Solanum lycopersicum: one gene and its partners. The protein of the gene in region 1 binds, or shares a complex with, the protein of each later gene. Links are inferred from orthologs where the notes say so. Each region holds a gene or a part of one and is shown in the gene's direction. Other genes may lie near its edges.

Region 1 (4,704 bases):
AATCTACATCTATTTATTTTTAAGCAAAATTTAGAAATTTAAAGTTTCATTTATTATTTTTTAGTACGTTTGATTTTATCAATTGTTTTCTAGATTATTATTATTTTAGATTAATAAATGAATTTTCAAGTACAATTTTTGTTTCATGAACATCTTCACATATTTTGATAAAGATCATAAAAAGGAAAGGAAAAGAAAAAGTGTAGCCTGTTTTATAAAAGAGGTTACCTTATAAGTCAAAATATTAGTGACATATCAAAGCTAGTTTAGTGAATAAAACAAAGCCTAAGAATTTACTTTTTTTTTCTCTTTTATGATCTCATTATCTCTTTTTCTATATATAATAATATTTTGTTTTTTCCTTTTGATCTCATTAATTGACTCTGTTTATAATCTTTACTTTTTTGACTTAATTGTTACACAATTTTGTGAAGTTCCTTTCCTTTTTCATGCATCTTTTTTTCTTCTTGATTGCATATTAAGCAATCGTTTTTAGGATAACTGTACTTGATTCTCCCTATGATGGAACAACAATATACATAATTTGTTATTTGCTAGCACTTTGTATTTTAATTAACACAAGTAGTATAACTCACGATTCTGACAACATAGATAGGATTTCTCCGTCTCAGACAGTAATGGAGCTAAAATTTTATCTAAGGGGTGTCAAAATCTAAAAAAATAAAATTATGTAAAAGCTAAGGAATATCAATATGTAATATATATATATATATATATATATATATTAAACCTAACTCAATTCAAAAAGCTAATTCAGGGCGATGTTTTTGAAAACGTTTTGGGGCGAGTTTCAGGGAGGGCCATATCGAAAATGCTCCAGGGCGTAAATGAAAGAAGTAAATTCATAAGGTGTAAGTCTTGAGCATAAAAAACGTAAGTTCTGGGCGTAAAACGTATATAGTGACGTTTTAATTTATTATTTAAAACTTTTTTTACTTTAAATTATATTTTTACTATTGGTGTAATAATATTTTTCAAATAGTAATTATAATATATTTTTCTTCATTATTGATTATTAATATTTATTGCAAATAAGAATTATAATCATTGAAAGATTTATTTTTATTTATTTTATTAGTAATAAAATTATAATATTAAATATACATGAGACTAAGCCTAGTAGACCCATGGGGCTTACGCCCCGTGTTCAGGGATTTACTCCTCGCCCTATACGATATAAATCACCTCACTTTTTAAAATATTGATTCAGAATACGAAAGAAATTCTAGTAAAAATTATTTTCTCTTTAAAATCAAATTTATGCAATTTAAATTAGTTAGATTATCAATATGGCTACCATACACTCGATTGAAAACAAAAACAAAAAATACTTTTTCATTCGTCATAATTTATATGATATTATTTAATTTAATATAAAATACAAATGATAGACATAAATTGAGACAAAAAATCGCTAATGACGAGGCAGGAACATAGTGACAACAATGGGGACCTACTTATCTCACTACCTTCACACATTGAAATCCAACGTCACCTTCTGCTATAGTTTTTAGCTATCCCCAAAAAAAGTTGCAGAATTTTATGATAACACTCAAATGGCTGCCTCTACTACTCTACTATCTAACTCCATTTCTCCTTTCTTTGCTAATCCACCTAATTTTCCTGTAACCCATGTCACAAATGTACCTTTCTTGAACCACAATCCATCTTTTCCCGCCAGAAAATCAGGGAATTTTTGCCTCAATGCCAAGAAAAAAAATCCATGGCTTGACCCTTTTGACTATGGTGATGATCCTGAAATGGAATATGGTTCACTTTTTTCTGAAGGGAAACAAGATGAAGATCCAAGGCCACCTGATAATCCTGATAACCCATATGGATTTCTCAAATTCCCAATGGGATACTCTGTTGAGATTGCTTCGTTGGGTTTGAAAATTAGAGGTGATGTTCGGAGATGTTGTTGTGTTATTGATGGTGGGGTTTATGAGAATTTGCTGTTCTTTCCAGTAATTCAGATGATTAAGGATAGGTACCCTGGTGTTCAAGTGGATATACTTGCAACAGCCAGGGGAAAACAGACATTTGAGATGAATAAAAATGTGAGGTGGGCTAATGCCTATGATCTGGATGATGATTTTCCTGAACCAGCTGAGTATACGGATATGCTTGGAATTCTTAAGGTTTCATGCCGTTCCATTAACATTAACATCGATTCATAATTATTTAAATTCTACGTTGCTTGGACTCTTCAAAAATGTTGATTTTAAAGTGCATTACTTTTGGAAGTATCCGACACACATTAATCTACGAGCAACATAGGTTTAAGCAAGTTGTTTCATTTGAAGTATGATTCTTGTCGTGCCTTGATGTATTAGCACCTAAAATTAGAGAAAGTAACAAACATTATATGGAAACTTAGTTAAATACGAAGATTTAACTATGGTTATCTTATGAGTTTGCAGATAATTCAAAAGTTGAGCAGACTACGTTTGGAAAAAGAATCGCTTAGATTAGCTTCAAGATGCTGTTCGTCTTGTTTAGTCAGATAGAGATAAAAGAATTTGCTTCCTGCATTATGAATAGAGAGTTATAGTCATTTTTTGGGCTAAGTTATTTGCTTTAATGCATGGTTTGTTGCAGAGTAGGTACTATGATATGATCTTGTCAACCAAACTGGCAGGGATTGGACATGCAGTATTTTTGTTTATGTCGACTGCTCGTGACAGAGTTAGCTACATTTACCCAAATGTGAATTCTGCAGGAGCAGGATTGTTTCTGTCAGAAACTTTTACACCAGAAAGCATGAACCTCTCCGAGGGCGGATATCATATGTAAGTAGATGTTCCAACTGATAACTTGATCTTTTTGACTACTGAATATTCATTTCAAAATAGGGAGTTTGAAAAGTGCAACAGTTGTACTTCGTCAAAGTTTGTATAAACATGTTTACATACACTTTTTTGAAATAGGTACCGTCAGATGGTTGATTGGTTGGGCAGACCAGCTCGTAAAGTACCTCGACAACCTTTACCCCCACTTAAAGTTTCAATCTCAAGAAAGGTTAGGGAGGTTGTAGAGGCAAAATATAAGAATGTTGGTGCACAGAAAGGCAAATATATTGTGATTCATGGGATTAAATCAGATTCAAAAGCTTCTATGCAGTCAAGGGGTGATATTGATAGCTTGCTCCCTATTGAGATTTGGGCTGAGATAGCAGAGGAGATAAGGTATAATGTCAGTATTTTATTCTCTGTCGGAAAAAGGGCCGACTCGACTACATGGTCATTTTTAGTTCTCGAATTAGCTGATTAGCCTTTTTTCATCAAATGCAAGAAAATTTGTGAGCTATACTAATGGTTTGTAAACTATCATTTGATCAGGGGAGTCAAGCCAGTTTTTGTCATTCCACACGAAAAAGAAAGAGAAAATGTGGAAGATGCAGTTGGTTACGATGCTAGTATAGTGTTCATAACCACCCCTGGACAGGTTTGTTTTCTCAACCACTTTCACAATATCAATGACCGATGATCAACCAGTGTTTAGTTGAACAACCATAAAAGAAGAAATTGGTTGGAGTCACAGATATAATGGCAACAATTTACAGTCATATTCAAGGAGGGTATAATCAAATGAAAGTAGTTTGCTTCTGTTGCATGTTTAGTGGCAGCTTTAACTATAGTCTATATACCGCGGGATGAGCACTAGAAAACTAACAGTCCCTGCATATTTCTCTGCCTTAGCTTGCTGCTCTTGTTGATGACTCTGCTGGAGTGATAGCTACAAATACAGCTGCGATACAACTTGCTCACGCACGTGGAAAACCAAGGTAATGTCATCTACTACAAGCTGTAGACGCGGAAATTTTTTGCACCTTCTGCTGTCTTTGTGGGGAGGTTGATATATCTTGGTTTTGTCTGTACAGTATTGGGCTATTCTGCTCTGAGGATAAGGCCAGAAGTTTTGTTCCCAATGCAGAAGCAAAGAAATGTGCAACTATTTCATCAAATACTGGAAAATTGGTTGATATTGATGTTGAAGCTGTGAAGAGTGCTGTTCAAATTTTCACCATGCCCCTAGCAATCTTCTAAATATTATACATCCTCCAGTTCTCTTACATATAGTAATTAAGTATTCCTGTAATTGTTACTAGTTCCATTTTCTTCTCAATTGTAATTAATAGAAGCGGAAATATATATATTCGTTCTTTTTTCTCAACAGAAAAGGAATATGGAGATATGTTATTTATCAATGTGACACTTTAGGACATTCTGATATCTATAAAGTTTTGCAAGATTGTATAAATATAAAGAAATATGATAGTTTTCACAATTTGCGATTTTCATGTTTCTAAGAAAAACACAAACTTAAAAAAATCTAAATGACATATCTAAAAGGAATTTCTAACTTCAAAATCAATCTGATTATGAATCATGATTTTGTATTATATATGCAAACAATAGTAAAAAGACTCAGCAGACGGATGGGCCACGAAAATGTGGAATCGGGTCCATATCATTGGCCCAATTTGTGCTCAATGTTTCAATTTTGAGAAAATTTCACAAATGGCAAAACACAACAATGGGCTATATAACTATAGTTTTGATAAATACGCTTTATATCTATATTTATGTTTGCTATAGAGGCTGTGCTTTGTATTTCACTTACGAATATATAAATAGGATAATCATCTACAAATTCTTTCCTCATATGAATTTTTCAGAA
Region 2 (4,779 bases), on another chromosome or scaffold:
TATGGAGCAAAGTTAGTAACCTCTAGATATTTGATCGAGTCATTCTATGGATTATATTTCCCCAAACGTGATTCAATTTTAAGCAAAATGTCCCCATTTGACAAAAAAGGGGCAAACCCTACAAACATGGTATAAATTCATTATGAGACTTGATAGTAAACAACTTTGTCCTAGATTCTTCAACTCCATACTCCGCATAACCCAGATGTCTGCACCCTGCATGTAATTACAGAACACAGAAAGATCACTTTTAAGCACTCCTAGTAAGAAATGACCATAATCATTAAAGTTAAAATTGCAGCGCTTTTCTATCTCTACACATTTCTCATCACACAAATCAATAGAAGAAATGTTCATGCCCATTTCAATCCAATGAAGTTTCCCTTACACAAGCTTACCCCGAAAATGGAAAAAAAATCTATCTTTAAACTCCGTTAATACGCCTCCCATAAACTCCTTAGACAATATATCTGGACCTCAACACGACATAGACGCATATTTCTGTAAACAGGGCAAACTCCCACTACGTTGTAATCATCTTGAAGCACATCAACGCAAAACCAAATCTGCTATCCCCAGGTTCCTCCACTTGATATCCACCACATCGATTAAGTCTATAACTAGGCAACTTGCTATACTTTCTAATTGACGGATTCCATATAAACAAGTCATGCAATTTGTTACATAGGCAACACAAATCAATCTGTTTACCGAACCCACCAGCCAAGGATAGTCTTTGGAAATTTTACCTGGATAATCCAAGTCAATTACCTCCTTTACAGAATGGCGATGTAAATCACTACACATAACTAGCCAACATAAATAGCAACCTTAAACATAACTCCTTGTTACTAGCACAAAATAAGAGATGCGTCTTCACAAATTTAGGGATAGAGATTAAGGAAAGCCAAGATTTCGACACAGACCTGAATTGTAAAAGGGATTTCACCGGAAGCCTTAACAAAACTAAATCTTTGCTTGAAATGGACTGAATTTCCATGGGTTTGCTCCGCTTTGGGAGGCTTCGTCCTCTTTGGATTCCATTTGGGTTTTGCAGAAATGGGAAATCTTTGAGGTTTCGATAGGGAGATTACTATATAAAAAGCCCTAAAGTTTGTCTTTTTTATTTTCCCTCTTACAACAGAGCTGGTTTTAGTTTTTATGTTTTAATACTATATAAATAATATTTTCACTGGTAATTTATATTTTAAAATCATTATATATTGAGTGTTGGTTATATTTTGTTATCTTAAACAACTTATGTCTTATAAGGTATAAATTTATTTTCAAAATATGATGCAGGAATCAAAGCACCATAGTACGTGTTCTAGTTAAAGGAAGGAGATATATGTGCTCCAATTATTTTTGGAGTTCTGTTATGTGTTTCAAAAGTTTTACTAGTAATTATTGTGAAACATTGTCTTTTTTAGATGTTAATGGTCGTATCACAATTCATATTTTATCTGTGGTGAACGTTCTTACTCCTTATGAATTTTACAATGAATACTTAACTTTGTTTTATTTTAAAAATTCAAAATATAAAAGAATAAAAATTAATTTATTTGAAGGACAACTTATGCAATTAAATAGGATGTTTGGAAATTTCATAATCTTTACTTGGATTTTGGATTTTCAATCCAAAATATATAAATTAGGTTTAAGTTTGGCTTTTGTTCTTTTCTAAATCACAAAATTATTTCATTAAAAAAGTTACAATAGAGTTTGAACTCTCACCTTATGATTATTATTCTAGCTATGTTTGAATATACAATATAAAATTAAAATTTGAATAACTAATTTGAGATTATGTTATCTCAAATTTTAAATTCTCCCCAAAACATCATTTCAATTTTTAAAATATAGAACTTATCCCATAAATTTATATAGCTAATATTATTATGCATATTTAAATATTTGTTATTTGTAATTTCTTTATTGTAAAGTTTATCAGCACATTTATTGAGTGGCAAGGAACAAAGTAGTCATCTTTGTCCAAGTTTGCAATGGTCCTTCCACAGTCTCTGTTGCTATAGCTGCCTACTGCCACCACTCACACACTGCCACCAAAATACCCAAATGACAACTCTCTCCTACACCTTCCCTAGCACCACCAGCAGCAGCAGCAGCACTAGGAGGTTCTTGATTACTAGCAATGGGTCTTCTTGCCGGCGGCGCCCCAATATTTCCACTGAAGACCAACCCTGTTCCTCTTCAGGTCATCCCCAATAACCCCTTTCTCTGTGTGTGTGCGCAGTGTGAAGATTTATAATGCTTAATTGATATTATGGGTTGTTACAATATCTTGATATTAGGGTGATCACTAAAAAAGTGAAAAGATCAAGACTTTGTAATAATATTGCATCTGTGTGAGGTGGGGTGTTAATTTTTATTTTTTTTTAAAAAAAAGGGGTTCATATTGGTGGTTAAGGCTTGAGCACCTCCTACCTTTGAGGTAGTTTAGATAGGCCTAAAACTTAATTTTACATGGTATGAGTACCAGGTTCATTCCCGGTGTGAGCTTTTGGTTCTCGCTCTCAAGGGGCCTAAGCGTGAAGGAGGGTGTATGGTTTTGCGATTGAGTTAGGTCCGGATGACAATATCTTTACGGACTTGATAACTTAATGGTTGATTCAAGCTTGTTAAATGTAAATATTAAGTTATGTAGGGAGTGGAAGTATGCATTTTACTTAATAATGTTTTGAAGTTGTGTACAAATTCAGCTTCAACTCACATTTGTTCCCAATTTTCAGCTTTATGGTTCAATATCATGGTGTGTGTGTGTGTGTGTGTGAAGATGTATAACGTTTAGTTGCTATTATGTGTTGTTATAATATCTTGATATTAGGGGGATGGTTAAAGAACTGAAAAGATCAAGACTTAACTTAATGGACTATTCAATCTTGTTAAATGTGAATATTTAGTTGAGTAGGGAGTGATATGTACACTTTACTTAATTCTGTTTTTAAGCTATGGTTTGGGTGTGTAGAGATTCAGCTTCTACTCGCATTTGTTCCCAATTTTCAGATTTATAGTTCAATATCACGGTGTGCGTGTGTGTGAAGACGTATGCTTAGTTGCTATTATGTGTTGTTACAAAATTAGGGTGATGGTTAAAGAACTAAAAAGATCAAGACTTGATATCATAATGGGTGATTCCAGCTTGTTATATGTAAATATTAGTGGGGTAGGTAGTGAAAGTGTACATTTACTTAATTATGTTTTGAAGTTTTGTTTTTTGGGTGAGTAGAGATTCAGCTCCAACTCACATTTGTTCCCGATTGTTATTGTTTTACATGGTATGAAATCCAGACTTTCCCTAATATTGGTCTATAAAGCTGAAAATGTTTGTGCTTACTGTTATGCACTGTCACATTAAGCAGTGCATTGGCAATGTTTCTAGCCATTGTTGACAATGGTAAAAACTGACTTCTGGTTCTCGAGTTTCACAGGTTGCTTACAGTAGGCACCCTTTCAGTTCTCCCTGTAACATAATCTTATCAGTTCTCTTTGGAAAATGACTTATTTATAACTTTTTCTACCTTTTACATGTGGAAATGCACACTTGCAGCACCAAAATGATACTGTTATCCTGTTCGCATTAATTAAATTTTGAGAGTGATGTCTTAACGTTCAATGTTTTTCATTATGATGCCTTTGTTCTTTCGGTCATGTACCATGAAATCTGAATTAAAATGGCAAAATGCAGCCTGTTATCAAGGGGCAGTGCAGTCTTATGGTCTGCAGAAGCAACGAGTACAATTAAATGGCATATCAAAGGCTGTGAGAACGAGAAGACTTGATTCAGTTGGAAGACAAAAGAAAGGAGCAATTAGATGTAACATTGAACTTCAGGACTTCATAGGTGGAGATCTCATTAAACCTGATTTGGGTCAATGGTTATCAGATGTGGAAGAACACAAAGCCATAGCAATTTACTCTCCTCATGAAGGGGGCTATGAAGGACGCTACCTTACACGTCTTAAGTACCAGGGATATCATTTCTTGGACCTTTCGGCTCGTGGCCTCGGTGACCCTGAAACCACTCTTACCAAATTCCACCCTGTCTGCCCTGTAAGTTTAGCAGTTCGCATACGATATGCTTATTCTCAAACACTAACTTGCAGTGTCTAATTGACTCTCATCTGCAAATTTTGATGTTGCAGGCTCATGTTGGTAAGCAACCAATAGCTAGATGGTATTTTCCTCCAGAAGTTGATTATAGGCTTTCTTTACTTCCTCCGGATGCTAAAGGATTAGTGGTTTGGATAATAGAAGCCAAGGTTAAATCCACCCCTTCAAGTGTACATCATCTAATTAGTCCATCAGCAGTATTTTGACTAGATCTTTGTTAACTGTTTGACCTAAAATGTTCAGGTCTTATCAAAGGCAGAGCTGCAGTTTCTTGCTTTACTCCCGACACTTCGTCCTAATGTGAGGGTCATTGCAGAGTGTGGTAACTGGTAAGATTTTCCTTTCATCTTCCTTTTTCTTGTTTATCAATCAACTCTCTTGTAAATAAGGAAACTTTGAGATCTTGTCGTTGTGGTTAAAACAACATTGTATGCAAAAGCTACCTGGATTTACTTCAGTTTAGCCTTCTGTGGTCAATGCTACATACTTTATCATCATTCTTAGCTTGTAGATGCAAGAGTCAGGACAAGTACTTTAATAAAGATAGCATCTTTTGGTTTTCTTTTTTTTCATCTTTTTAGAATTGCCGAAGGTCAATAGTAAACAACCTCTCTACTTTTGAGGTTGGGCTAAGGTATACATACACTC
Region 3 (4,456 bases), on another chromosome or scaffold:
CGTTCACGGCATCCACTGTGGTACTCCTTAAATACATATACACTTATTTAGTAAAATTATAATATGGTCTTTATGTTTTTTTCCTTAATTGGCAATTAGTATTATATTTTCAAGATAAAATTAGAGAGGTTCACTTGAAACTTGGCATTTTTTGTGTGAACGATAACTTGTATATTGATATGTTTTTTTTATAATAATCTTGATGTTAGGGACAGTTTTCCGCATTATCTCGAGTAGTTTCAGGGGATATCTATCATCTCTCATTACCAATAGATATCAAGTAACTCTGTCCATTAAGGTTATGACAGATGGAAAGAATCACTCTAATATTTCTGGTCTATGCTGAATTTTAAACCTAAGATCTTAAGATTCTCAATCACTTTATTGACTACTAAACCACTCATTCGATGCTTGTAAGTTGATATGTTTACGTTAGGTTTTATGCTTTTTAGGAGTCTTTTAATAGCGTGTTTGACGAAGATACTTATTCAGATCAGCTATAATTTGATAAGTGCATCTTATCCAATAATTTTGAAAAAAGTACTTTGATTCAGTTTGTGTTTAACTAAATTATTGAAAAGTATTTTTATTAGTAATTTATATTTCACTAATATTTTCAAGATGTATTTTTACGCATGTCATAATTCAACGAGTAGCATTATTACTAATTTATAAGTACTTATTTTTTCGCTTAAAGTTTGATCAAGTATTTTTTGTATTTAAAATATTTAATCAAACAAACTATTAACGACCCTTATACTAATAGGGATTACAAAAGAATTCTAATTATTTCTTTTTTTCAGTTAAGTTATAATTCGTTTATATAATTTTATCATCCCAATCCATTCATTTCTCATCTATTATTTTTTGTAAATTAAAGGTGTTGCTTTAATTTGTAAAGCAATTATTATTAGTCCAACTATGTGGGAGCTAGAGACATTAGATATTTTAGCTGTAAAGCAATTATTCATGCACAATCAATAATGTATTATTTTTGCCTAAATTGCTTTATATCTCTTTATTTATGAAGATAATTTATTGATGATTTGATTTGTTATATCAAAAACTAAATAACATGTATTTCATAATTTTAAAGAAGATATAATTTGTTCACAAAAATACTCTCCAGTCATTATAACAAAAATAATCATTAATTGTCGTTAAATATGTATTTTTAGCGGCAATTGACACTCTTTGTATATGTCCATAAAATATTTAGCAACATTGGTTCTAATGATACTTAACTAATGCCGGTAAAGACTTTCGCACTCTTTATCAATGTCAATATTTAATGCCGCCAAAAATTATTTTTGTTGTAGTGTAGAAAAATAACATCATAGACTTCAAGGGTGTTTCTGTCAGTTTCATTATTTTATTTTGGGATAACTAATCCTGATACCATTACTCTGCTCTATGACGGTGATAACTTATTTCAGGAGTGTATAGTTGAAAAATTCAGCATAATTTAAATGGTTTTTAGTGTCTAATCTCAATGTTGAACTCAAATTTGTTTTGATACGAGAATTGAATGCCTCAAGGGAAAAACATAAGAAATTTGTTCGATTGATAGAAGATTGATCCCAACCCGTCAATGAAATAGGGCTACTAGTGTTCAGTCTTGATTGATTCCGAAAAAATGCGAACCAAGTAAAACTAGTTTCAAATTGAACAAGGCCAACCCTAAGTTAAACAAATTCCAAAATTGGGCCAACTAGAACAAAGCCTCTTACACCATTGACCCAACAACACCAAAATTTATTGGGAAAAAAAGAGGATAAAATATTTGCCAAGTCACCAAAACCTAAGGTCCATTTTGGATTTAGGGAAATCAATTAATATCCATCCAAAACACACACAAAAACCATCAAACACTCCTTAGATTTTTTTTTTCAACACAAAAATGACCACTTTCACAAATCCTACAACTTTGTTCCATCCAAAAACCAAAATAACCAAAACTCATCACACACAATGCAAGACACTACCCAAAATCCAATCTAACTTATCAACTAATGAACAAAACTTCTCATGTAGACGCAAACTCATCGCGACTTTTCTAGTCACTCCATTGACACTAGGCCTACAATTCACCCCTTTAGCATTAGCTGAAAATTGGGGCGTTCGATCATTCTTAAGAGAACATTTCTTTGAGCCTGGATTGTCCCCTGAAGATGCAGTAGCACGAATTCGTCAAACAGCAGATGGACTACATAGTATTAAAGAGATGTTGGAGACTAACTCATGGAGGTATGTATTGTTTTATATACGACTTAAATCAGCTTATCTTAAACAGGACGTGAAGAATGCCTTATCCAGGGTGCCTGAAAGTCGAAAAGAGTCTTATATTAAAACTGTCAATGAGCTTACTGATAACATGGCTGAGGTAACTAACTGTCCTTATTTTCCCTGTTCAGAATTTTTCGAGGTTCTATTCAGTGTTATGGATATTTCTATGTATTTTCTTCGTCTGCAGTTTGATTACTACATTCGAACACCAAAGGTATATGAATCTCGTGTATTCTATGAGAAGACGTTGAAATCAATTGATGAATTGGTGGGATTACTTGCATAATAATATCATCAGGCTCAAAGGTGAGTGAATGTTGTAGCAGAAAAATCGCGTTGGTTTAACAAATAAACTGATCGAAAAACGTTGAAATTATATACAATTTTATGTTCATTTATAAGCTTGGTCTGCGAGTTGATGAAATTGGAATCAAGATTACATACGAGTTTATGAGAGAATAACTATTAGTTGAATAAACGTGATATTTGAAGATGAAAACATTGAAGTAAGGAGGAAATCTTTTCATTATGTGATACAACTGATGAAAATCTTGATACAATGAAATGCAACTGATGAAACTAACATTTACAAACACAATACACACACAAAGGCTAGCAATTGCTAGTGTAGCCAACATCTTCAGCGCCTTGATAAAGCGATAGATGACAAAATTATAAGTATAACCATCAAGGCCATTGCACCAAAAGAACCGATAAGGGATCCAGCAGAACGTTGACAGAAATCTGTATACTGTTGGCATATCGAAAACCAGTTAGTTGAAGTGTTGCCATTGTGTGCCAAATACACAATCGCGGCTGCTGCTGATGCTCCAGATGTGAGGAAAACCAGCATTATCTTCAAAAGTTTTCGCAAAGTATAAAAGATATCAGTACAACATCATAACAAAGTACTAAATATGAAAACTTTAGCAGAAATCTAATGTATTACCGCGTCTAGAACAATGAGCAAAACTCTGCTCTTTCCTGCTCTACTTCTGATAATGTGAAAGATTGAAATAGTGATAGAAAGTGCAAGATATACACAAACTATAGAATTCGAAACCACGAAGAACCTTCAATCAGAATAAGCAAAACAAAAAAATGTGTTAGTTAACCTTTATACTGTTCTATTTCATGTAATAATATGTTTGCAGTTTTGCTTACTTGAACGAGTCGATATCATCATACTGAGCTTCAAAATTTACAATCTGTGTACTGAATGGAAGTGCTTGATCTGCAGTACCCATTGCCACAGCACTTGCTAAGGTTCCAACAAGTGCAACGATACGTAAAACAAGATCAAATACAGAGATTCCTCTGTTCACTCCATGAACTCTTTTGGCCTTTGATCCCTCTCCAGTTTCAATTGATACTGCCTTCATTTTTTCCTTTTAGCTCAAACTTTGAAACTAGAATGAAATTTTGTTGTTATGATTTGTATGTCAAGTGTGATGCGAATTTATACTAACAAGTGAACCAAATCATGTAACAGAGTTACAAATAGTATTAGGTTTTGATGACACATAATTAGTTGTTGCTTTTGCTTATTTAATCAATGAAATGTACAACTTTCTGGTTCATGATATTCCATAAAGTAGTTAAGTCTTGCATTAACTTGCTACACTTTTTACCTGCTCTACTTTCTTCCTAACATGTATTTTGAAAATGTATTTTTTCTCGAGAAAATGTATCATTATATACGAGAAATCGCGATATTAAAACAGCACACGACACGTTGCAATCCATTTGAGAAGGGTAGTATGTATGCATACGTCACTTTTAACTTTATGGAATTGAGAGGTTGTTCCCGATAAAAACTTCAACATTCTTTGTCCTATCTTTTTTTTCTTTTTTAATGTTTTGCAAACACACTTTATGATCATTGATTTATTATATTAGGTCAATTGATAATATACTAATAACAATGGTTATGGTCCTAAATGGTTTTTTGGATTAGGCACAAAGTTCTACTTGAACATAAGAATCAAACATGAGAAATTAGAATACTAGAAAGTAAAATAATGAATAGGTTGACTTTTTGATTAACAATGAGAAATAAAATAAAGAACAAGTTTATGGAGTAGGTCAAAATCTATCCAAAAAAAAGTTGTGAAACGTGTAATTTCATTTTTTCAATTCAAAATTTTAACAAAAAATTATTCCTTGGAAA
Region 4 (4,223 bases), on another chromosome or scaffold:
ATAGTCCATGTTTTTTTTATGCAAATTTTTTGAAACAATATGGCCGAAATTTTTCATGGACGTCCATTTAAGACCTTAGAAATGGAACCTTTCATCCCGAGGAGAAAAATGATGCATTTTAAAGTTCAAATGAGCCCCAAAGCCAGCGAAAACAGATTTTACTAATTTTCATGTGTTATAACCCATGAATTTTTTTTCCGGAAATCCCAAAATAAAATGGGCAAAATATTCCATGAACATCTATTAAGACCTTAGAAATGAAACTTGTTTATCCCGCGAGAAAAAATGAAGCATTTTCAAGTTCAAACGAGCCCAAAGTAGGTAAAGACGGGTTTTGTCGATTTTCATGTGTTATAGCTCATGGATTTTCTTATTCGAATATTTGGAAACAAATGATCAAAATTTTTCATAGACACTTGTTAAGACCTTAGAAATAGAATATGTTCTTCTCGCGAAGAAAAATTGTGAATTTTCAAGTTCAAACGAGCCCCAAAGAAGGCAAAGGCAAATTTTACCAATTTTTATGTGTTATATTTTTCATCAGAAATTTCCAAACAATGGCTGAAATTACTCATGGAAGTCCGTTAAGACCTTAAAATGGAATCAATTTGTCCTGCATGGAAAAATTGTGCATTTTCAAGTTTAAACGAACCCTAAAATAGATAAAGACATATCTTATCGATTTTTGTGTGCATAGCCCATGAATTTTTTTAAATCCAAAAATTTCCAAACAATATGGCCAAAATTTTTCATGGCGTCCGTAAAGAGCTAAGGAATGAAACGAGTTCATCCCGCGGGGAAAAATGATGTATTTTATAATTCAAACGAGCCCCTAAGAAGGCAAAGGTAGTTTTTATCGATTTTAGTGTGTTATAGCCCATAATATTTTTTATCCATAAATCCTAAAACAAAATGACCGCATATTTAATAGACGACCATTAAGACCTTAAAATGGAACCACTTCGTCCTGCGGGGAAAAAAGACACATTTTCAAGTTTAAACAAATTCCAAAGCAGACAAAGACAAATTTTATCAAATTTCTTGCTCTGGGGTTCAGTTGAACTTGAAAATGCACGATTTTTCCCTGCGGGACGAACTGGTTCAATTTATATGGTTTTAACGGATGTCAAAAGAATTTGGCCATTTTTTTATATTCCCGAATCAAAAAGAAAATCATGTGATATAACACATAAAAATTGGTAAAATATGTCTTTGCCTGCTTTGGGCACGTTTGAACTTAAAAATGCATCATTTTTCTCCACGAGACGAGCTAGTTTTATTTCTAAGTTTTTAAAGGACGTCCATGAAAAAATTCGACCATTTTGTTTTGAATTTTTGGGTAAAAATAATTTATGGGTTATGTCATACGAAAATCGATAAAATCTGTTTTTTACCTACTTGTAAACAAAAATTGAAAAAAATGAGGGTTTACCTGCTCTGGATCGTTTGACCTTCAAAATGGGGTGTTTTGATCGTGGTGACTAACTGACTCCATTGATAAGATCTTAACAATCATCCATGTTAATTCAGAAAATATGACGTCAGAGTTCTTATTCACCAAAAATTTCATAGACTATAGCACAGAACACTCGACAAAATTGGGGGTTTACCTACTCTAAACTCGTTTAACCTTGAAAATGGGTCCTTTTTAGCTGTAGTGGCCAATATGCCCCATAGATAAGGTTTTAACTATGTTAATTTTCGGCAAATAACGTTAAAATTCTGGATCACTAAAAAGATGGTTTGACCTTTAAAATGGTCGTTTTGACCGTGACAACCAATTGGCTCCATAGATAAAAGTTCTAACGGACGTCCACAGTAATTTTCAACAAAAATGACATCGAAATTCAGTATTCAAACTCGAAATCCTTAACCGAGAATAGAGTAATCCCATTTATTAGCAGACTAATTTTTGTTATTCAAATCTGGCCGTTGAAGAAGGGGGAAAAAGGGCATGCCCTTATCTACTTATATTGGCCACAACTAAACTAGTTATATCTCCAAAAAAAAAAAAAAAAAACTATAGAGATGGCTTTCTCTGCTGCATTTTCACACACCTCCTTCATATATTCATCATCTTTTTCACAAACAAGAAAAAATAGGATTAATTATAGCCCTTTTGTTATTAAAGCAGAAAATAGTTCATCTGAACCACAAGAAAATAATGAGAAGCCAAAATCTCAAGCAGCAGCAGCAACAACAACTTCTTCTAGTACAACAGCCACCGCAACAAAGCCTAAAAAACCGGTTTATTCTAGTGAGTAGTACTATTTCATGAAAATGTCTCAAATTTCACTAATTTTTTGTTTATAGAAGTTTAGCTTTTTTGTTTTGGTTGGCAGTGAAGAAAGGTCAGATAGTCAGGGTGGAAAAGGAGAAGTATCTGAATAGCATCAATGTGAGTTTTGTTTTTTTTTGCTACTTCACGAGGTAATGATAAGGTTTATGTACACTCTACCTTCTCAGACCTATTTAGTGGGACTTCTTTAATAAAGATATATATACTATAATTTTTTACCAATCAGCATTGTATCCTCTACATGCTTATGAATGATGATAATAATCTGAATTGGAAGTTGTGGACACCCTTGCACTGGAATTTGACTGTATATTTTTGTATAAATTTCTTCAGTATTTGTCTGTTGATCATCCACCTTATTACAAAGGTCTGGACTACATATATGAAGACCGTGGTGAGGTACCATTTTCTTATTTCTCTATAGATCATGTCAAAAGGGATAACAAAATACAATTTGGAACAACATGTTATTTATAAAATAAACTAATCATATATCTGTTTAGGTATTGGATATTCGTATATTCGAGACAGGAGAATATGCACTTGTAAGTATATTTTTTTCGAAATTCAATTTATTATATCAAAACACACCTCGAAACATAAATTTCACTGAATATATAAAGAGATCAAAGTTGAGAGTTTACCTATGCTGCAGATTGGATGGATCGGAATACCAACTGCACCAGCTTGGCTTCCAACAGAGATGCTAATTAAGGTAATTAGCCTTTTGAAATCATTCAAAATACTAAAGCAGCAATTTGCATCATTTCATGAGTACCTTTTATGGTACACTATTAAAAAAACCTCCTTGCACTTCAAATGAGAATCTCTGGTGAAAATTATTTTGGACAAACTCATAGCAATTAACTGCACGGAGGTTTGGGGAATGGACCGGTGGGTTGCTTATATGAACTTAAGCAATCCTCCCAAGTATCCGGAATGGACTGGTGGTTTGCTTATATGAACTTAAGCAATCCTCCCAAGTATCGTATCTTTATTTGATGATACAGTTTCCACCTTGCTAAAAAGCAAGTGGTCTGTTGCGTAATCACACATTCCCTAACCAATAACAAATTTTGCAGTCTGATAAGCTGGATTACGAGAGAATATAGTGGCGAGTCCACAGTTACAGACCAGTACATGCCAGACGAGTAAATCAAAGTGGAGCATCAGATTGACCGCTGCTCATCAGAGATGAAGAGAGATGAGATGGACACACCTCCAGAATTTACTTATTGCTAAATATATTATTATTCCTTAAAGATCACTCAATCAGCTTCTCAGTTGACACTAAATAATCGTTAAATTGATTCTTAAGAAGCTTAATATAACAATCCTGGACTATTCAGTAGGTAAAAGACAGCTTCCAGTAACAATCAAGAGACGTTCTAGATCAACTGAAATATAAATAAACAGCAACATACCCAATGTAATCCCACAAGTGGGGTCTGGGAAGGATAGAACTGAAATATGATATCAGTTAAACACAAAATACCTTCCATATTGAATAGAATGGAGTCGGTTTATAAATGAATATCGAAATGTACGTCTCAATGTACCATTAATTTTTTCATAAAATTATAGTGTACACACAATATACAGTAGGCAGGTAACTGGAAAGTCTCAGTGTACAGCAGCCTGTAAAAAGGGAAGGTGAAGAACAGGTGGTATGGAGTATAAGTTATCTGTATTTTTTTCTGTAAACAATGCTGTACTTGGTATCAATATCTGAAAGCGATGAGGGTGGAGAATGAAATGAAGAAATTAATGAAGAAATGATGCCAGGAAAAATCAGAACTTACAGCCTTCTCCTAGCACGCTTAGTAGCATTCATAAGCTCTGTCAACGAAGCAAGGGGTCGGGGCACTGGTACATGCATAGACCGGTATAATTTCCGCAAACTTGGGTTATAACTGTTTGACAA
Region 5 (3,493 bases), on another chromosome or scaffold:
CCAACTATATGATACTCAATGGATTGAAATTCCAATTAGATAAGCTCTTTAATAGCTCACAGCTAATTTATGCCAGATGGTGCCAAGTAGAAATAGTTTTTAGCTGTGTTTGGATGATCGGCAAAGAAGGTCTTCTGAAGTTAGTTTATCACCCAGTTTTATGTTTGGTTAGTTTATCACACAGTTTTATGTTTGGTTGATTCCTGGTTCCTGGACAAGCTTGTCCCTATCCCAAACTTGTTATAACTGATGAGGCTAGTCTCCACACTTCCCCATGAATGAAGTAGTGGGGACCCTTACCTCTTCTTGTTTGCCATTTTTTGTTTTTGGAATGACTTCCTTGATATAGCTATATTTTCAACCGGTGATTTTGCCAAGTATTTTTACCTATTATGTCACCTCTTTCTCTGAATGCAACTATTTCAGTATTATTTTAATATGTTCTTTACAATAGATGTAGATCATCACAAACACACAACACTCTAATCTTGAAACTTGTGAAATGGGTCATATTTCTAAACATGCAGTGTCAGAAGAAACACACCTATGTCTGCCCCGTTTTTGAAGCAACTGGCAACTGTCCCAAAGGTTCAAACTGCAAGCTTCACCATCCGAAGAACAGAAGGAAGGGAGCGAAAAGGAAAGCTTTGAGCGAGTTAAAGAATGGTCGAGGTCGTTACTTTGGCTCTCCGCACATTCATATTTCTGAGTGCATAACAGCTGGATCAGAGAAGCCTTCTGTCAAGGGGAATAATGACATATTCCTTGAAGGGAAGTTTGTCGATTTTATTAGCCTAGATGGTAGTGACGAAGAGGAACAGACTATTGATCAGAGAAGCGAGGAAAAGCCACTTTGCGAGAGTGGTCCAGCAGAGATGCAACTGGATGATCTCGATGAGCTTATTAAGCCCGTGCGTCTGATAAATAGGAATAGGTCTGTAGGTTCATCTCCCTATATAGATAGCCCAAGTGATATGACCACAAGCTATGTATCAGAGTAGCCTCACCATTGTAAATGAGGTTGTGTAATTAGGTTTATGTAGTGTTCTGCTAGTGCAGAGCAATTTTTTTTCTTTTTATTGTTAGGCTTTTAGTTAATTACTTAGGTATAGGTCTTAGGATTAGGCATATTTTTTGTTTCGCAAAATCTGTTGTGTGAGATAGAACAAGAAAACTGTTGTTATAGTGAGAGAATTAAAGGAAATGAAAATCTTATCCCCTATGTACAAGTCTTTATTGGAAGCTGTTTGACTTTTGTTCTTTAACAATTTTCAAGTCAATCTGAACTCTCTTATTGAGTCTTTATCACAGGTGATAATGAACCTGTAGATTCAATCAGCTGGTGTTATGTTTATTTTACTTTTGACAGGTAAGCATTCTTTTTTTGTAGTGATGAATACACGGATAAAAAAGATTGTTTTTAATAGATCCACCACCATACGAACTTCTGAACTTAAATTTTTTGGTTTTGTCTATATAAGTGAAACGCCCTGCATACTTATCTTTCATGGCTCGGATTCACTAATTAACCAAACCTTTAAACCTGGTTTAACAGGGATAAAAACGAAAGTAATTTAAGTACCTCAAAGTGAGTAATTTGTAATTAACCTTTTATTAAGCACAGCCACAGAACAAAAAAAATATAAGATAATAAAAAGAAGCCATATGTAAGCAAACATTTCCTATCCACACAAAAAGGAGGATATATTAATATCCCAATACCAACATTCAAGAAAAGGCCATAAAAATCACACATAACAAAACACTAGGAGAAAGGGGGAAACATGGCAGCAACTTCAACATACATGGCTTCAACCCATTTCAGCATGTTAAGTTGGAGCACAAAGGGAAAGAATAAACAACTCAAAAGGAGAAACTTCTTCTCAGTTTCAGCACAGCAAGCAGAAGTTGAAGAGTTAAAACTAAAAAAAGAGGAAGAAAAGAAAGAAGAAGAAAAACAAGAAGAGGGGGCAATGAAGAAGCCAAGGCCAGTAGAACCACAAATAAATGTGCAGAGCAAGAACATGACCAGAGAACATGGAGGACAATGGCTCAGTAGTGCTACTAGACATGTTCGAATATATGCAGCTTATATTGATCCCGAAACCTTTGCTTTCGATCAAACACAAATGGATAAACTCACACTCCTTCTTGACCCTACTGATGAATTTGTGTGGACTGATGATACTTGTACCAAAGTCTATTCTTACTTCCAAGAACTTGTTGATCATTATGAGGTAATGAAAACTTCTCTTCATCAATACAAGCTTAATCATGCAATCACTCTTGTACCAAATGGATTAGAAATAGAAATGCTAACTCCAATAACTTTTTATGATCTGGACCAGGGAGCTCCATTGACGGAGTACACGCTTCGCCTGATAGGTTCAGACATAGAGCACTACATAAGAAAACTTCTCTATAATGGAGAAATCCAATACAACATGAATGCAAGAGTTCTTAACTTCAGTATGGGGAAACCAAGAGTTGGGTTCAATTACAATGGACAAATGGAAGATGTAAACCAGTAAATTCAGGTAACAATGTTGACTATATTGAAACAATGAGTAGCAAAAAATGCAGTTGTAACAATGTATAAGAAACTTTCACCTTCTCTGTCTGTTTTGAGAACTTTTCCCAAATGGATTATACACAATACAAATGTTATCTACCTAATCATTGGTGGCAAAAGGGTATTTTATACTGTGGTTTTCATATTCCTAATCATCTAAGCATTGTATCAATACCCCCAATCAAAATTGCAATAGCTTCAAATTTGTTTGAGATTTCCTATATCTACACCACTCCATATATTTAAGCTTACCTCATCTATATTCAACCTACTTTATTATAAAATTATTCGTTTTTTTCCACAAAAATTTTAAAATAATATGTAAAACTTACTAGACTTTAAAACTAACACACTATATTATCTTACATACAAGATTATGTAAGAACAACTATTGATAATGTAAAAAAAAATGAAAATTATTACATCTTATAATTTAATCTTAATAACATAAGTATAAATTAATGATTGTAAAAATATATACTAGAATCTGTAACATAAACAATGGTGGCAGTGAGTCACTAACCGGAGCAATGTACACAAATATTTAATTGTGAAAAAGAAGAAGAAGAGAGACAGAATTTTCGTTCTTTTAAAAGGAGAGAAAATCCCTCTATTTATAGACAAACAAAGAGTAGCGTGAGAAATGTTTATTGTGCCTTATCAGAAAAGTTACAACTATTTAGAAAAGTTGCAACTCATCGGATAGGTCACGACATTTTATAAAAGTCACAACTTTTCATAAAAGTCGTAACTCTTCATTAAAGTCGTAATTTTTTTCATAAAAGTCGCATTTCTTCATTAAGGTCACAACTTTTCATAAAAGCCGCAATTCATCATAAAAATCACAACTCTTCATTGAAGTCGTAACTTTAAATAAAAGTCACAACTTATCATAAAAGTCGCAACTCATCATTGAAGTCG
Region 6 (4,513 bases), on another chromosome or scaffold:
GTTTCTTGACAAAGTCAACCGGATCAACCCTAGAGCCTGACGATCCTTGAGTTTCCACTTCTCCTCCGTCATGGATTCCGGCTTCACCCCGGTCAACGGTTCGTGAAAATCTTTCTGGTACAGATAATCTTCGATCTGCATCTTCCAGAAACTGAAATCGGATCCATCAAACTTCTTGATTCCAAGCTTCGAACTATCCATCTTCTGTGATCGTGTTGAATCTCCTTAGCTCTGATACCAGTTGTTAGGATCGATTCACGCACACACACTAGATGATTGAAGAACACAAGAACTTTCAAGAGAAAGAGATGAGAAATCTAGAGAGAGAGAGAGAAAACTCAATATTTCGTGGTAAAACCCCGTGAGTAAACTTCTACGACGGTGAGGTATATTTATATTAATAAATCAGAGTATTTTTGGTTACAAAGAATAAATAGGAAAACCTAAAATTAATCAGGCTCCACTACCTAACACTTATTTACATAAGCTTGTACTCTTACCACAATCATAGTCTACTTGATACATTGTACTCTTTATAACATTATATATATATAGAAGGCTTCAACGTGGAGCTCATCATGGGAGAATATTATTATACACAGGTAATAGATGATTTCAAACTAAAATGTTCAATTTTATAAAAAATAAAAAGTAATATTGAAAAACAAAGGTAAAATGTCTTATTTTTGTTCGACTTCAATAACTAAAATATTAATATTATTTTGTCACACTTCAAATACATGTTCATTTTTTGGAGTTTTAGAAACTAAACCTAATGAATCCTTTTTTAGAAAACACGATTTTTGAACAAATAAAACAAAACTCACATCAAAATTGGGAGTACTCAAACATCAACTTCATTGAAAAATATATTGAGAAGACCTAGAATTTCATTCCTTTCTCGTCAGATTAAAAGAGGAGAAAACAAGAGGAGAAAAAGAAAATAAAAAAAATAAGTCAAGTTTAGAGTTTTCGAACTTTTAATGGCAAAGAAAAAACACAAAATTGAAAGTTTTTTTCATTTTATTTGTTTGGAAGATGAAGAGTCACATTCTAGATCTACAAATATAGAGAGAGTATTTGAATGTTTATTTAAAAAGAAGTGGAGTATATTTGATTGAGAGTGAAACGTAAAGTGGTCAATTTATATTTTTATTCATGTAGTACTAATTATTCAAGTATAACTTATTTCATCTCGAACTCGCATAAAATAATTCATGGATTGACTCATAACTTATACATGTATTACTTCAATAGTTTTCTAATTTTCTAATGAAACATAGAATTATGTGTGTTAAAACATTATATCTTGACATAAAAGAGCTATCAAATATAGTATAACTTATGTAACGTAACTCAATCCTTATCCAGTAACCAAACGATCTCGCACTTTAAACCATGGTAAAAATTAGGCTATTTCCTAATATTATACTCTAGTAACAACTTTTTTACCATTTGTAATGGATATGTTTACCTAATCGGTCTATACAAGAGGGTTGAGGCTCGTCATCTCCGTCACACACCATCTTTGTCCCTCATTTTCACCAACCACACACACTCTCTCTCTCTATCTCTATTGCAGTTCAACTCGCCGTACCGGAGAACTGAAATCGGCAACTATGGCAGCTACATTTGCTTCAGTGGTGAGTTTCTTTAACCTCTCAATAATTTGCAGTTGAGCTTTGTTGTTCAGTGTTGCCTTCTAATTTGTAGTAATAACACTAATTTTTGGAAATAGAGCGTTGTTGTTGTTGTTGTTGTTGTTTTAGTTGACTAACGTTTCTCCGTTTACAGTCGAATTTAGGCTCAATTTCAGTTCCACGAGTTGCGAACCCTACATATGCTGCTTATCCGAAGTTGCTGAAATCTTCATTCTCATCGTCAAGCTTATTTGGTGGTTCGTTGCGTCTGGACACTTCTTCAAACCGTTCGGTTCACAAAAAAACCGGCGGTTCATCTGGTTCTATTCAAGCCGCGGTGGAGGTCTGTGCTCGCTCGCTGAGCTAATTTATTAGTGATTGCTCTACTGTTTGTGTGTTTCTTCTTTGATTTCGCCGAAAATTTGATGATTGAGTCAATATGTCTAGCGTTGAGCTAGTAAATATGCGTTCTAGGGTTTCTGTGAGGAATAACTTTTCTGTTTAAGTTCTAGAGCTAAATGTAAGGGATAAGTAGATGAATACATTGGTTGCAGATGGCATGTGTGGCTGAGTGTTACTTCGTTGTCTCATTTTATGTGAGAATATGTTAAATTAGGTTTGTATATAGTATTGGTGATGCTAGAAGAAACTATGAACAACTTTTGGAAAAAAAGTTTATATCGAAGGTTGTGAAAAGAGAAATTTTAGTTCTTCATAATATTTGTGAGTGGAACAAGGACTTTTAATACTTACAACTTGTGAAATTGGTATAAAAATATAGAGATGTCAAATATGACCCAAAATGAGAAGACTGTCATATAATGCAGTGTTTTCTTTTGTTAAGTAGCAAAGTTAATTGTGGAAGCGGATTTTTAAGTCTTGGAGCATTGATTAGAATGGCTGTGGTTCAGTTTTCAGCAAACATGGTGTTATGTTGCCTTTTGTATGGGACTAATGTTCCATAATTTGTTCATTACTTGGTTGAAGTTTTTAATAGATCTGAATGTATTTATTGAAATCCAGGTGGCGGATTTGCAATCCAAAGTGACAAACAAAGTTTATTTTGATATTAGCATTGGGAATCCTGTTGGAAAACTTGCTGGGCGAATTGTAATTGGATTATATGGTGATGATGTGCCACAGACAGCTGAAAATTTCCGTGCACTCTGCACAGGTTCTTTAATAGATTTTATGTTATTAATATTATTGTCGTCGATATTCTTATGACTAGTGCTGCTATCACTACTACCTTTATTGCAGTTTTTGTTCTCATTATCATTATTGCTATAATATTCTGCCTTGTTGCTTGAGCTTCATGCATATAATTCTTTCTATCATTTATGTTTAGCTTATAGTTTGGATTGATTTCTTCCGATCAGGTGAGAAGGGCTTTGGCTTCAAGGATTCTGCATTTCACCGTGTTATTAAAGATTTCATGATTCAAGGGGGTGATTTCGACAAGGGAAATGTAGGTGTCTCAACACCTGGTTTGCTTTCTCTTTCTTTCTTTTTTTTTTCTATTTGTTCCTCTAATTGGCATTCTTCTTGACACACACATCCTTCACCCAGTTCATTGTATTTTCTGTAGTACACTTGGTGTGTTTTGGGTGCTTATCTTTTAGCCTTTTATTTTGCTTGTTTCACCTTGAGCAAGATTTTAAATTAACAGAAATGCAAAATTCTGAATTAGTTCTTTGCCTAGTGTTTTCTTGTTCCTGTTTGGTGGTTTATCCTTCATCTTTTGGATCCTCCATGGCTCCAATTTCTACCATGGAAAACCAGAGAAGAAAAGGTTGTTTTTCAGTTTGTTTCGGTTCTGTGTTTGTGAGACTTCCCTGATGCTTGTAGCAACGTAAGATCTCTGTATTCTAAATTATCAATTTTCATGGTATAAACTTTTTTTCAAAAATAAGTAATGAACTTGCATGATGTAACTTTGCTTGTTCTATGTTTCTGAATGGGATGTCTTCTTTGATTAGTAGTTGAATGTGTGAAAGAGTACATGAGCTAAGATGCTCAGTGGAATATGTACTACTGCCATATTCAATAATTCTGTTTAAGTGGAATGTGTTATTGCACACAACTTGACTGCTCCAATATTTAATATGCATAGATTGATTGAAGAGTGTTCTAGTGTTTGCAGTTCATAATTTGGAAAATTTTCACTTGCCATTCTGGCATATTGTAATCTTCCCCCCATGGATTTAATTTTTTATTCGCAGGGAACCGGTGGTAAAAGCATATATGGTCGTACCTTCAAGGATGAAAACTTCAAGTGTAAGTTGGATTTTCTTCTTAAAAATTGGTTTCAAACTTCTCCTTGTGGTTAAGGCAATGGACCCCTTTGGTTCAGATTGTCAATTGTGTTCAATGTTCTTTTGTGATGAAAAATCCTTGTGTAATTGCAGTGGTTCATACCGGACCTGGGATTGTTAGCATGGCTAATGCAGGGCCTAATACCAACGGAAGCCAATTCTTCATTTGCACTGTAAAGGTATGTGGAATAGGAATCTCAATCAGCTGAATATCTTTTGTGAATACTGACTGCAAAGTTGTTTTCAAAAAAAAAAAAATACTGACTGCGAAGTTGTGATTACAATAGTACTCTTATCATATTGCAAAAGGGTATATGAAATTAAAGAGGTTTATATGCTCATTTTGGAATTTTGACCATTAGGTAGTCATTTTTAGCTGCTCTTGATTCCTAGAAACAAAGAACCACTTGTTTACTTCCTTCCTTTCTTAATGTTTTCAGCCCTTAGCAAAACCCATGTTTTTGAGCTTGTAAATATTTAGTTTGAGCAACATTATTTGTCAAATAATTCTTACTCGTTGCTTCTTATGTGTTGTGATAAAGATGTATCTGCTAGTTA
Region 7 (4,136 bases), on another chromosome or scaffold:
CCTGTAGAAGACATAATCAAACTGGATTTTGCACCATATCTGAAACTTGAAGATCTTACTGATGACCATATTTTTACGAAACAACGCCAGTGTTAGAATTCACAGACACCATACCAGCAGAATGAGGAGTATGATCGCCGAGCCATGGGAAAACGAGTCGAGAATCAGGTGAAGCACCAAGAAACTTTGGCAATGGTGAAGGCTCATAACGCCTGCTGCTACTACTGGAACGACTATCACGATGAAGGGTATCTTGCCACGCCCATCTACCATCATCCCGTTTCGATCTTCCTTGAAAGATAACACAATTTGCCAGATCAATTCAAATGCTTAAGAAATGTCACAAAATTAAAATGGTATTGAACTAGCTGAATTTTCCTAAGATTAAACCATTGAACTAGCTGAATTAAATCAAACAGTAATGGCATTACTGTTTGATTTAATTCAGCTAGTTCAATGGTTTAATCTTAGGAAAATGTTTTAAGAATTAAGGTGAAGAGTGAGTAGAATAAGAGGAAAGATAATGAAAGATAGAGATGGATGTTAAGCAATTAGGAGACTTTAGTTAGTGATAATACTTTTTATTTATAAGTTGCTCTGGTTTCTTGATCTGCAAAGAAAAAAGAGGAAGGTGATGTGTGTGTGTTGAAAAAAAAAAAGTGGGGGTGAGGGGGGGGGGGGGAGTGATGGATTTTATTATCCTTTTGAAGTTCTTCAGGGCAAGAAATCGAAGAAGAAGCTGGAAATTTCTTCATGAAGAAGAAAAGACAATGGAGTCATGAAAATTGTGAAAATGGGAGGAATAAGGTTTTAGCATATTTTAATTAGATGGTTATTTTTAAAATTGGGTCAAGTGGGCGGATTTAGTTAAAATAGGTGGGTTTAAAATTATTTTAAATAATTAAATTACAATCAATGGTTGAGTGCCACGTAATTAAAAATTATTATTTAATTATTTTTAATTTTGGTTTGTTAATGAATGGGTAAATTTAGACCCAAGGGTGGGTGTGAAGGGTATTTGGGGGCCAATAGATGGATGGAGGGTAATTGTGTACCATTTTCAATATTTCGAAGGTATTTTAGACCCTTTTCTATATTTTTAATTCTTTTTAGTTATAATTTTATGTTAACATTAGTAATGAAAATACATTTTTTATGTATTACTTATTTATATTTTAGTTATATCTTCTATGATACATAAAATAATATATAATTTTTTGTAATTTACACCTACATTAATTATAAATGTTTCTAATAAGTTTTATGCTAAATAAGTATTGAGTGTAGCAAATATCCCAATGATTTAAATTCCAATATCCAAGATGCGTATGATGTGTGGTAAAGGAAGAATAAGACAAAACCAAAATTGTTTGAGAAAATAATAGTTGTGAGTAAGCAGAAGAGTGTGTTTTTCTTATGTGTTTTCTTAACCTTATAACTCGGATAAAGGGAATAGATGAACCGTGTGTTTTTCTTATGTGTTTTCCTAACCTTATAACTCGGATAAAAGGAATAGAGGAACCCAAAAATAACTATCCCAAACTCAAATCATGAGCTTCACATTCATCAAACCCTCTATTCCTAGTCCTACATCGGAATTGCTGCACCCTTTCAGTAAATCAGTTAAAACCATTACTTGTATCTCAAATTCAATCTTTTTATAATTAATTCTGCTTAACTAATTACCTCTTTTCACTTTCTCAGCAGCTAAGGCATTGTCCAACCTCACCTTTTGGAAATAATGCAGGCAGGAGGCACCAGGTAGGTTTTACATGTTATTATTGATTTGAACAAGTATGGTTTGCAAAAGCATAATTAATGCTGTGGATTTCTATGATTAGATTGAAAGAAATAGGGTGAAGGCACTCCCAGATTGGCCATTAATGGCAGTATTAGTTGAGCATATGGAAGGTCAAAGAGACCTCATAACTCATAAATCTGTTTGGCATCTTAGTGATGAAGCCATGAAGAATGTCTGTGAGTAATCATTACTTACTAATTCATTTTTATCATTCTAATTCAAAATTCTCACACCTAATTTTTTCTCCATTGTAGATACATTTTACATCATGTTCACTGTTTGGGGATGCTGTTTCTTCGGTTCTACCAAAGTAAAATTTTTGAAATTAAACTTCATAAAATTGAGTTGTATCTCATTATTATGTGTCTTTTTTCTTTTAGGATCCTTACTATGATTCAGAACAATACAGAGGAGATGGAGGTGATGGTACTGGACATTGGGTCTATGAGAAGGTACAGTTTTTCTTTTCCGTTTTCTATCAAGGTTAGAAAATCAAAAGGGAAAAATACCCTTTCTTGTTCGCGACAGAGAAATGTTTATAGGTTTCAGTTAATATGTCGTTTGGTTGGGAACAAGTTATATTAGGATTAATTATACGAATTAATTATTTGATCATGTAAATGTGATAACTTATCATAAATAATCTCAGAACTGCTTAATACCTCCAACCAAACACACGGATAAAACATGGATTATCATAGTTTATACCTCACATGCGAGTTTTAGCTTTGACAGGTGAAAAAAAGGTTTTTAAAGAGTTAATTGTAGTCTAAATCCTGAATTCTTGATGTGAATGTTTTTTCCATTAAAAGAACATCTCTCGTTTCTAAAATAAAACTTTACTGAAATAATTTTATGCATATAAATGTCAAAATCATACTAGCTAGTTTCGAATTGTCTGAATTTGTTTCAACATGAATTTTGGCACCTAAATGTCCTATTCAAGATATATAGATATCTTTACAAGGTGGAATGCCATGATATTTGTGTAGTGAATGATACTACAAATCTGATTTTGTGATTGTGCAGCAAGAAGACATCGAAGAAGAAGCGAGAGCAGAGCTGTGGCGTGATGAACTGATAGAGGAGATTGAACAAAAGGTTGGGAGTCTTCGAGAGCTTGAAGAAGCTGGGAAGAAGGAACAGTTGGTCAAATGATCATCTTTATATGTGCTAAGAACAAATTTTATGATGCTTCCCAGTTATGTATATACAATATATGATTTCCAGTTCTATACAACATGGCTGTTTTGCCTTAATTCAGTGTTATGTTGCAAAACTCAGATTTCCCCTTCAAAATGTTGTCTTAATGAACTGTCACAATGTCAACATTTGCACTGTACAGAATCAGTTCTCTTTTTGTATTTGCTACTAGCAAGTCATGCAATGCTCTTTTAACAAGATTCATGGCATACACATCACGAAATCAAAAATTACTTCAATAATAGCCAAATTGTTAACCCTTTGGGTTGGATCAGTAGTTTGACCTTGGGACTTGCATGTTTGAAACCCCCTGCCAGCGAAAGCAAGAAGTTTGCCTTTTGGGTCGAACTCATTGCAGCAGGCTTGCAAGTAGTGAGCTATTGCATAAGAGCGAAAAAATTACCTTGTGCGCACCCAAAGAATAGTGACTGTGAAATCCCGTTGTCTTCAAAAATAAAATTAAAAAATAATAATAATGGCCAATATGTTCCCTCCCTGGTTGAGGAGATTGGAAAGAATTTTGGCTTAAAGCTACAAAAGATATCATCTCTGAATTTACATTCAAGACTGCATAGTTTTTTATTGACTGATAAACATTGTACAAGTGGCAATTTGTGTACAAAAAATAGTGATACGTAGGAACCATGTCTTTGATAGATCTCCAGAAAGAATTGAAGATGTTGTTAAAACATTACAGGGAAAACTGATAAAGAGAACCTGCTCCTTTGATAAAACTGAGAGATAATAATCACTCAATTTTGAATAACTCACTTACAAATTTACTCAATTTAAAATGATTTACATAGAAAATCACTCAACTTTATTTGATAACTCAAAAGTTACTAAATTTAATAAAATAATTAAGAAGTCACTCAAGAAGAGTGTTGGAATCGAAGACGAGAGGTAATCACTAATTATGTTAGTGTAGAGGCATTTTAATATTAAAAGAAATTTGCATATTCACATTGTCATATTGACCGTTTCATTGTTTCATTTATACATACGTTTGTGGATATTCATTGACAGAATATGGGAGTAACTACATTAATCTATTGGAGTTAGTGCCATATGCATTAGTACATTTCTCATTGTCATATGCATTTCTCAATGTCATTTGTATTGCAGTTATGCA

Evidence for each region.
Region 2: photosynthetic NDH subunit of subcomplex B 1, chloroplastic (region 1) and NAD(P)H-quinone oxidoreductase subunit N, chloroplastic share a complex: the UniProt entries of both Arabidopsis thaliana proteins name them as parts of the chloroplast NDH complex. The link is inferred for Solanum lycopersicum from reciprocal best matches to the Arabidopsis thaliana genes PnsB1 and NdhN.
Region 3: photosynthetic NDH subunit of subcomplex B 1, chloroplastic (region 1) and photosynthetic NDH subunit of lumenal location 2, chloroplastic share a complex: the UniProt entries of both Arabidopsis thaliana proteins name them as parts of the chloroplast NDH complex. The link is inferred for Solanum lycopersicum from reciprocal best matches to the Arabidopsis thaliana genes PnsB1 and PnsL2.
Region 4: photosynthetic NDH subunit of subcomplex B 1, chloroplastic (region 1) and NAD(P)H-quinone oxidoreductase subunit O, chloroplastic share a complex: the UniProt entries of both Arabidopsis thaliana proteins name them as parts of the chloroplast NDH complex. The link is inferred for Solanum lycopersicum from reciprocal best matches to the Arabidopsis thaliana genes PnsB1 and NdhO.
Region 5: photosynthetic NDH subunit of subcomplex B 1, chloroplastic (region 1) and ORR share a complex: the UniProt entries of both Arabidopsis thaliana proteins name them as parts of the chloroplast NDH complex. The link is inferred for Solanum lycopersicum from reciprocal best matches to the Arabidopsis thaliana genes PnsB1 and NdhM.
Region 6: photosynthetic NDH subunit of subcomplex B 1, chloroplastic (region 1) and photosynthetic NDH subunit of lumenal location 5, chloroplastic share a complex: the UniProt entries of both Arabidopsis thaliana proteins name them as parts of the chloroplast NDH complex. The link is inferred for Solanum lycopersicum from reciprocal best matches to the Arabidopsis thaliana genes PnsB1 and Pnsl5.
Region 7: photosynthetic NDH subunit of subcomplex B 1, chloroplastic (region 1) and photosynthetic NDH subunit of subcomplex B 4, chloroplastic share a complex: the UniProt entries of both Arabidopsis thaliana proteins name them as parts of the chloroplast NDH complex. The link is inferred for Solanum lycopersicum from reciprocal best matches to the Arabidopsis thaliana genes PnsB1 and PnsB4.

What each region holds. Positions count from the first base shown.
Region 1 is NC_090802.1:62,985,248-62,989,951, reverse strand, and holds photosynthetic NDH subunit of subcomplex B 1, chloroplastic, read left to right. Parts: upstream 1-1,453; 5' UTR 1,454-1,577; coding exon 1,578-2,162; intron 2,163-2,622; coding exon 2,623-2,813; intron 2,814-2,951; coding exon 2,952-3,209; intron 3,210-3,362; coding exon 3,363-3,468; intron 3,469-3,722; coding exon 3,723-3,808; intron 3,809-3,904; coding exon 3,905-4,070; 3' UTR 4,071-4,204; downstream 4,205-4,704. UniProt on the Arabidopsis thaliana protein: NDH shuttles electrons from NAD(P)H:plastoquinone, via FMN and iron-sulfur (Fe-S) centers, to quinones in the photosynthetic chain and possibly in a chloroplast respiratory chain.
Region 2 is NC_090808.1:66,281,872-66,286,650, forward strand, and holds the start of NAD(P)H-quinone oxidoreductase subunit N, chloroplastic, read left to right. Parts: upstream 1-1,806; 5' UTR 1,807-2,076; coding exon 2,077-2,215; intron 2,216-3,706; coding exon 3,707-4,071; intron 4,072-4,163; coding exon 4,164-4,280; intron 4,281-4,374; coding exon 4,375-4,460; intron 4,461-4,779. UniProt on the Arabidopsis thaliana protein: NDH shuttles electrons from NAD(P)H:plastoquinone, via FMN and iron-sulfur (Fe-S) centers, to quinones in the photosynthetic chain and possibly in a chloroplast respiratory chain.
Region 3 is NC_090804.1:2,507,316-2,511,771, forward strand, and holds photosynthetic NDH subunit of lumenal location 2, chloroplastic, read left to right. Parts: upstream 1-1,859; 5' UTR 1,860-1,900; coding exon 1,901-2,383; intron 2,384-2,473; coding exon 2,474-2,572; 3' UTR 2,573-2,592; exon of another isoform or gene 2,593-2,687; intron 2,688-2,787; exon of another isoform or gene 2,788-2,926; coding exon of another isoform or gene 2,927-3,142; intron 3,143-3,235; coding exon of another isoform or gene 3,236-3,359; intron 3,360-3,450; coding exon of another isoform or gene 3,451-3,668; 3' UTR 3,669-3,864; downstream 3,865-4,456. Other genes in the region: casparian strip membrane protein 2, read right to left, coding at 2,927-3,142, 3,236-3,359, 3,451-3,668. UniProt on the Arabidopsis thaliana protein: NDH shuttles electrons from NAD(P)H:plastoquinone, via FMN and iron-sulfur (Fe-S) centers, to quinones in the photosynthetic chain and possibly in a chloroplast respiratory chain.
Region 4 is NC_090810.1:1,415,229-1,419,451, reverse strand, and holds NAD(P)H-quinone oxidoreductase subunit O, chloroplastic, read left to right. Parts: upstream 1-1,931; 5' UTR 1,932-2,028; coding exon 2,029-2,257; intron 2,258-2,321; coding exon 2,322-2,398; coding exon of another isoform or gene 2,399-2,430; intron 2,431-2,632; coding exon 2,633-2,698; intron 2,699-2,802; coding exon 2,803-2,844; intron 2,845-2,954; coding exon 2,955-3,014; intron 3,015-3,381; coding exon 3,382-3,411; 3' UTR 3,412-3,657; downstream 3,658-4,223. Other genes in the region: uncharacterized protein, read right to left, coding at 4,098-4,223. UniProt on the Arabidopsis thaliana protein: NDH shuttles electrons from NAD(P)H:plastoquinone, via FMN and iron-sulfur (Fe-S) centers, to quinones in the photosynthetic chain and possibly in a chloroplast respiratory chain.
Region 5 is NC_090803.1:56,432,094-56,435,586, reverse strand, and holds ORR (NAD(P)H-quinone oxidoreductase subunit M, chloroplastic), read left to right. Parts: upstream 1-1,674; 5' UTR 1,675-1,784; coding exon 1,785-2,237; intron 2,238-2,348; coding exon 2,349-2,531; 3' UTR 2,532-2,691; downstream 2,692-3,493. Other genes in the region: uncharacterized protein At1g21580, read left to right, coding at 528-1,001. UniProt on the Arabidopsis thaliana protein: NDH shuttles electrons from NAD(P)H:plastoquinone, via FMN and iron-sulfur (Fe-S) centers, to quinones in the photosynthetic chain and possibly in a chloroplast respiratory chain.
Region 6 is NC_090800.1:5,016,476-5,020,988, forward strand, and holds the start of photosynthetic NDH subunit of lumenal location 5, chloroplastic, read left to right. Parts: upstream 1-1,344; 5' UTR 1,345-1,619; coding exon 1,620-1,643; intron 1,644-1,794; coding exon 1,795-1,983; intron 1,984-2,663; coding exon 2,664-2,814; intron 2,815-3,019; coding exon 3,020-3,108; intron 3,109-3,862; coding exon 3,863-3,917; intron 3,918-4,048; coding exon 4,049-4,134; intron 4,135-4,513. UniProt on the Arabidopsis thaliana protein: NDH shuttles electrons from NAD(P)H:plastoquinone, via FMN and iron-sulfur (Fe-S) centers, to quinones in the photosynthetic chain and possibly in a chloroplast respiratory chain.
Region 7 is NC_090811.1:46,150,933-46,155,068, reverse strand, and holds photosynthetic NDH subunit of subcomplex B 4, chloroplastic, read left to right. Parts: upstream 1-1,335; 5' UTR 1,336-1,550; coding exon 1,551-1,622; intron 1,623-1,704; coding exon 1,705-1,761; intron 1,762-1,841; coding exon 1,842-1,977; intron 1,978-2,055; coding exon 2,056-2,111; intron 2,112-2,181; coding exon 2,182-2,253; intron 2,254-2,830; coding exon 2,831-2,959; 3' UTR 2,960-3,080; downstream 3,081-4,136. UniProt on the Arabidopsis thaliana protein: NDH shuttles electrons from NAD(P)H:plastoquinone, via FMN and iron-sulfur (Fe-S) centers, to quinones in the photosynthetic chain and possibly in a chloroplast respiratory chain.